Linked DNA regions of Bombyx mori. The protein of the gene in region 1 purifies or fractionates together with the protein of each later gene. This does not show direct contact. Links are inferred from orthologs where the notes say so. Each region holds a gene or a part of one and is shown on either strand. Other genes may lie near its edges. The genes, in order: synaptojanin-1 and endophilin-A.

Region 1 (3,940 bases):
TTGTACGAGTAATTAATGACGCACTATAAAATCACTAGAATGTAGGCAATGAAATAAATTAAAAAAATCTTTAGAAATTCATTTTGGTATCTATAATCCATTTTGTTAAATTGTGTTTAAAATCTTTAATTAGGTAGGTACCAGATGGTGGGTGTCACTGAATAGTAGATACGTAGTAATCAGAGCGTGGTTTTAAGCGATATAGGTAGGTACTTAAAAAATTCGATCATCGACTTTTTGGCGGGAACGCGAGGAGCGAAGTTGTTGAATTAATTTATTTTATCTATTTAGTGTTTCTTTAGATTTAAATGAGTAATTACGGTGGTTTATTTACTGTTTAGTATCTGTGAAAGTGCAAAAATGTGGTAAAATTAAACAAAGCAGTTGGACGTAGCTTCTCGGGATTCTCCAAAAAGTCTCAGTAAATTACCACCATTTTATTGAGATTATATTTCATCCCATATCTCATCTCATTTCATGCCATGTTTCATTTTAATAAATTTCATTTCACTTCCTAATGCCGTATCGTCTCATTGCTTCGACGATGTGGTGTTGTGTTCCAATCGTTACATAAATCAACATTAAATTATTAGAAGAAAAAAAACGCGGGAAACATTGGAATTTGGCGGACGCTGTTTTTGTGCTGAATTTGCTTTTCCTTCGTTTTTTATTATTCATAAACTTTACAGCTTAAAGGTTTTAATTAAAACGGGCGAATTATAAAAATCTTATTACTTGACGCTGGCTAACGCACAAACTGTACCAGAGCCAAAAAATAAAGAAGAAGATGAAGAAGTCGATCATCGAAAAGCAGACAAGTAATGTATTATACCTGGGTAGTCTTTGAATGAAAGTAGGTACCGTACTAATAGTATCTATTGAAAAGTAACCTCATACCAAAAAGAGTTTCAAATTTAATTTAGATAGAGTAAACGTTAAGTTGATTTCCGCCTGTTACATAACACTTGTCTTTAAATAAAGTGAGTGTACCAATCGTTAGTGTAATACTTTTATTGTTGGGTAGGTCTCGTTAACGTACTAACCGCAACGTTAACGGCGAAAATGCAAATCAAAACAGTGTTGTCATGAAATTAATGTTCGTTATTATAAGTCGTGCTAAGAGGATGGTAATAATGCATAGATAGATGTAAACATTTCATATATATGAAGCTTAATATTCCAGAAAACAATGGGTATGGGAATAAGAATATTATATAAATTTTTAAATATACCATGCTAGAAATTCATTTTTGTAACAGTTGTGTATTTTCAATGATATTTTTTCAATTATAAAATGACATCCATTTTTAATCTTATTTTCTTGTAACATGTGGTCCAAGACTCAATTGTACCGTAAATCAATATAGAACGGATTGCTGGTGTGCTGCCATAGTAATAGAGTAATAGATAAAGGTCGATGGGTTTTAACTCAGCAAGCTCAAAAATGTCCCAACACCAGTAGGTAATTACGCAATTCACAAGTTTAACGGATTTGATTTTTATTTTCCAATGCAATTCTTTTCTCGTTGAAATCGTTATGGAACTCGACTTAGATATTTTCTAATAACTGATAAATAACTAACTAACCCGCAAGACTCAGGCGTGTTTTGAACTCCTGCTTAGTCGCAGCACTCGATACAAATAAAGCGTCTTACCATTGTTTTAAAGCTATGTACGTTTACAATAAGAAAGCTTCCTGATTTCCTGATTTAAAAAGCTATTCCAAAAAGCATACGTAAAACTTGAAAAGTGTTAAGCGCTTGTCAATTTTAAGCCGTTTGTCACACCACTAGTAGCATAGATTAAATTGGATAAGCACTATTCACTATTCTATGGGTGGATTGATTTGATTGAATTCATTCTGTCCACCAAGTCGAAGATTGGTCTCGGTTATTCTCATATAAATTTATAATTGTTATTTGACTTATCTTAAAAGCTAATGGCGTGATAATCGCCAAATAGAAACTAAACATGGCTATGTCCAAAGGCTTTAAAGTTCTGGAGAAATCATCGCCCCCCAGTCCGTATAGCATAATATTACAACACAGAAACAAAGACACTGCACTTCTTTTCGAATCTCAAGCCGTTGTTTCCTTATCATCGCAAGAAACAGAAACTTTAAGGAAACAATACCATAAAGTTGCAGACGCTTATGGATGTCTTGGAGTACTTCAGCTAAATTCTGGTGAAAGCTGTCTTCTGTATCTTGTGTTAATCACCGGATGCTCTTCTGTTGGTAAAGTGGGGGATTTAGAAGTATTTAAGATAACGCAAACTCAATTTCTGCCACTGTTCTACCAATCGCAAGGTGATGATAAGGTTTCGGAAGTCCGAAAATTAATTAATTCAGGTACATTTTATTTCTCTTGGTATTCTGGCAAAAACAATGATAATCTTTTTGATTTGACTCTGTGTGCCCAAAGAAAAAGTAAAGGAGCCAACCCTGATAATAGGTTCTTTTGGAATAGAACACTGTACATACATCTAATCAGATATGGCATAGATTGTGATGAGTGGCTAACTCGAGCAATGTGTGGATCTGTAGAAATACGCACTATTTATGTTGGGCATCGTCAAGCTAGGGCTGTACTTGTCTCAAGACTTAGTTGTGAAAGGGCTGGAACTAGATTTAATGTGCGAGGTTGTAATGATGATGGAAATGTGGCAAACTTTGTAGAAACTGAACAAGCTGTTTACATTGATGATTCTGTAGCATCTTATATACAAACAAGAGGGTCTGTGCCATTGTTTTGGGAACAACCTGGAATACAAGTTGGCTCACACAAAGTAAAAATGTCAAGAGGCTATGATGCATCAACAAGTGCTTGTGAGAGACATTTTGCCCAGTTAAAGCGTAATTATGGATCTGTAATAGTTGTAAATCTGCTTGGATCTAACATGATTGGGGGTAGTGAAGGTGAGGCAACATTAAGTAATGCTTTCCAGAAACACATTAATGAATCTCCACATTCTGATGTCCTACAAATTGTTTTTGACTATCATCAGGAAGTAAGAGCAACATCCCAAGAGATAGCTCTATCAAAATTTAAACAGAATATTGAGAAATATTATGATGAGATTGGGATTTTTAGTGCAAAAGGGTCAGACATTTATAATATTCAAAAGGGAGTTATAAGGACCAATTGCTTGGATTGCTTAGATAGAACAAATTCTATTCAGACATTTATTGGTTTAGAAATGCTTGCTGTTCAATTAATGCTACTACAATGTCTTGATAAAAAACAAAATGTTAATAGATTTGAAGAAGTTTACAAACAGATGTGGGTGAATAATGGAAATGAAATATCTAAAATTTATGCTGGAACTGGTGCAATTCAAGGAGGCTCCAAACTAATTGATGGAGCTCGATCTGCTGCCAGGACTATCCAGAACAATTTATTAGACAACTCAAAGCAAGAAGCAATTGATATTTTATTACTTGGTTCAACATTAAACTCTGAACTGGCAGACCGCACAAGAATACTGTTGCCATCTAACATACTACACACTTCTACAGCTATCTTGAGGGAAATGTGTCGTAGAACGAATGAATTCACTCAACCTTCAACTCTTAGAATAACTATTGGCACATACAATGTGAATGGTGGTAAACATTTCAGAAGTCTTGCTTATAAGGATGTTTCATTATCTGACTGGTTATTAGATTGTCCAAATTCATCTTTGGTAAATACAGTCAATCTGAAGGATCATCCTTCTGACATATTTGCAATAGGCTTTGAAGAAATAGTTGATTTAAATGCTAGTAATATTATGGCAGCTAGTACTGATAATGCAAAAGCATGGAGTGAGGAACTGGAAAAAGTGTTAGGCAGAGATGCATCTTATACACTTCTGTCTAGTCATCAACTTGTTGGAGTATGTTTATTCATATTTGTTAGAAAAGATTTAATACCGCATATCAGAGATGTAGCACTTGATT
Region 2 (3,940 bases), on another chromosome or scaffold:
GCCGCCACCCACCTTGAGATATGAGTTTTTTAAGGTCTCAGTATAGTTACAACGGCTGCCCTACCCTTCAAACCGAAACACATTATGTACTGGTTCACGTAGATATAACCTGCCTGTACCGGCTCACAAAAATATTTTGATAATTATCAAATCATATGGTAGTATCATATACGTATATGATAATTAACAGATTTTGCTGATAAGCATATCCGTGTATTTTTATAATGATTATGATTCCAGGAGAACGACGTGATCACGCTGATCAACAAGGTGGACGACAACTGGTTCGAGGGCAGCCTGAACGGCAAGACGGGCTACTTCCCCATCAGCTACGTTCAGGTCAACGTTCCACTGCCCAATATGTAAACTTGGAACATGTAGGTGTAACACAAACATTCACTTTTAATTGAATATGCAATTTCAAAAAGGGCACATGTCGCATATTCTGTCAAATATGTTTTTTCATATACATGTAGTTTTGAGGCTTACCTACACCCATTTTATAATAATTCCACTAATTTTCAATTGCTAATAAACACTAAAATATATCTCAAAAGTAAATATTTTAAATTTTACACTGCTTTAGAAAATGATCAGTTTTTTTCATTTCCTGAACATTTTACATTATAAGAGATGTGCCCTTTTCGAAATTACATATTTAATTCATTTAAGGCATTTTAAAAATGTGTGTTTAATTTTACATTAGATCATACGGAATACCCTTACCCTTAACTATGAAATATGATTAACTGATCGTTTTTCTGACGTAACTTGTGTTACACCATTGAAATAATCTTCATATACTAAACGCAGCTACTACATAAAGGATTAATATGAATTGTTCGTAACTTCAATCGTGTCAAAAGCTCAATGAAATTATCCAATCAAGTGTATTTTATATACATTGTGTGAATACAGACTTTTTTGTTTAGAAGAAGTCTTCCCGATATTACACTCCATTTTAGAATTGTTTTTAAAAAGAAAATTCAAACAGATCTATTGTGTTATATAATTAATAATAAATAAAAACCCGTATAATACGCCAAAGAATACCTTAATGATAATATTATTAAATTCAATATACGTGTATATGTATTATTTTATTTCCTTTTTTTTATACACATTATTTTCCAAATGAATTGAGGTCGTATTTTGTAATAAATCTTATTAGTTTAACAAAGACGTACGCTATTATAATTTATACATTTTTCATGTTGCCATTTTATTCGTGACTGCTATTGTAGGCCTACCGCTTAATCGATACTGGTGCGGGGCAGGGGCGAGCTAGTGTGGTGATGTCACGTTTATGTAAAAGACAATCGCCCATACCATTGGGAATACAAGGCATTTCCCTGATTAAGAAAACTCGAAACAATTTAAATTGATATGATTTCGTCATTCTTTTCATGCGACCATTCAAGTGAAGTATGATAAACCATTAATAAGGGCAGTTATTAAAATCAAAGTATGAGATACCGAATAAATCAGGTGACTCCTTAATTTTTTTGGCTACTAATCATATAACACGTTCTTTCACATTTTAAATATATTTTTTATGGAATGGAATGTAATGGGACCTGGTAATGAGACTTTTAAGCTGAGTCAATTTATTTTCTTCGTATATTCTGTTATAATATGATAAATGATATGAAGCGAAATGAGATGAAGTTGATTAACTTGAGACTTTAATCAATTGGTGTGAAAAACCACCGTTATAACACATTTAAGTCTCAAGGATCACTAAATTAACAAAATAAAACAATTCACAATTCACTTCGCTACTCGCGTTTCACCCAGATGTCTCACTTAGACCCTCATATATTATAAAGTACGTAATATTTGCTAGAAAAGATTAAGCGATATTGTTGATCTATTACTCCAGAAGCCGCCCTCGGTAGAGCGGTAGGTCTATTTTATTTTAGTAAATTAGTTGTAAGTTTGGAACAAATTAATTTGTTTCCGTATGTAGATATTAAAATATACCAGTTATATTATTTAGTTACATTAAGACTATTGTTTAATATGATTGTAGAATCGAAAAACGTTGGTTAAAACTTTGAGCTTGTCAAAATACTATCATAAAATTAAAAGGTATAATGAATCTCAGATAAACATAGTTATGATAGTCAAAGAAATTAAAACACCAATTATTCATGTTTCCATAAGAAAAACACTGTTATCGTAATGAGAATGCGGTAAAAATTAAAACGACTTTTTGGCGTTATGCTTACATTTTCCTTAATTCATTGTTGATTTTTTCCTCTCCATAGCTCGAAGTTTTGATGTAGGTATGTGATTTACAGCTATTGCGATGCGTAGGGCAGCATTGATTCCGAACAGTGATATTATGTGTATTTACTCTATAATAAACATATTTTACATGTAGTTTATAAAATAATTTTCTTGTGTAATGTTTTATTTAGAATACCTTCTACTACTATCTACTTATTTGTGTGATGAATTGTTTCATCATTTATTTTGTTAAATACACGGCACTACTTAATTGACTAGAATGATTGATGTAAAACTAGTTAAATGTTTGAGATTAGAGATTTTGTGGTTAATTAGTTTGTCTACATAGAAATTACTGTATGCTCATATTGCTGCATGATTGTGTATGTTAAGATGACGGTCTTGCCACCAACATTGAGTTTAAATTTTTACGTGAATTAATATAAATAATTTCATTTATGTTTTAAGGAGTTTTCATATTAGGTGTATTTTCAAATGTTATATTGTCACCTTCTTGGATATCAAATTTAATATGTTTAACGTAATTTACTCCCAAAAATAAATATTAAAAAAAATCAATATTATCATATACGAATATAGAACAATTATAGTAAAAAATATTTTTTGAACTCGCACACTCATTTCGATTTAATTCACTTATAAATACATATTTAAAAATCGATTAAAATATCCGAGTGGAGTACATTTTTCATCATCCCTAAAATCACATATGCTAGTATTTAAATAAATAACAGTAATCATAATAAATATAAATGTTGTCAATGTGGATGTTGCAAAAGTTAATTAAATTTCATCGCATCATTTGTGTAGTAATCGGAACTCATTCGATCATGTTTCTGGCATACAAAAGACAATACCTAGATCTAATGTTAGTCGTACGTAAGTTCATAAATGAAATGTTCTTCAAGTGTCTCTTAATATAAGTATATCGAGTATATTATAATAATTATCTTCAATGTTACAAGAATCGATATTTTAATGTTCAAAAATACCGCGATGCGGATATAATTATTGCATGTGTCCTTCGTCTTAAAATTAATACTATTCACATATATTCATTTTGAATATGACTGTTATTGTTTATTAAAATTTCTAATGGCTTGCAAAAATTGTTGGGAACGTAAAGTTCATTAGGTATGTTGTCGCTTCGCACCGTGTACGTTGTATTATGCAAAGGAATCAATTTGTTTCCAAAATACTCGGGACAGAGTCGCCCGTGTAGTAGACAAATAAAAACAACATATAAAAATTATATTCTTGAAAATACAACCACTTATTTAGTAATCAAAATCTGTGATGCGCAAGTAATAACACTAAAATACTAAAATTTGCAAATAAAATTAGTCTGCATTATTTATCACATAAAACAAATTTGTATAGTTTTTGGGATCTTCTATCAGTAGATTCTAATATTCGCTAACGGTGCGGCCACACGAGTTGTCTTGTTACTATGTGCTTGTTCATGTTACTGTAATCTTGAATATTGTGTAATTTTAATAGGTGTATCTTGACAAATTGCCAATTGTAAAGCAATAAAATTGGTTTGTATTTGAAAATATCCAAAACGCTCGTTTTCGCCTATTAATAAAATGTTAACAATTAAAATTAAGTTAAGCGTTTTCATTTCTTATTATAATCCCCTAAGTAGTGTTAGAATCACCATGTAAAACAAGAAATCATGAGTCCC

The links.
Region 2: the proteins of synaptojanin-1 (region 1) and endophilin-A purify together in Drosophila melanogaster (affinity purification with western blotting; 3 studies listed by BioGRID). This does not show direct contact. The link is inferred for Bombyx mori from reciprocal best matches to the Drosophila melanogaster genes Synj and EndoA.

Annotation. Positions count from the first base shown.
Region 1 is NC_085118.1:11,391,608-11,395,547, reverse strand, and holds the start of synaptojanin-1, read left to right. Parts: upstream 1-1,400; 5' UTR 1,401-1,971; coding exon 1,972-3,940.
Region 2 is NC_085127.1:9,706,353-9,710,292, forward strand, and holds the end of endophilin-A, read left to right. Parts: intron 1-240; coding exon 241-366; 3' UTR 367-3,862; downstream 3,863-3,940. UniProt on the Drosophila melanogaster protein: Required presynaptically at the neuromuscular junction. Implicated in synaptic vesicle endocytosis.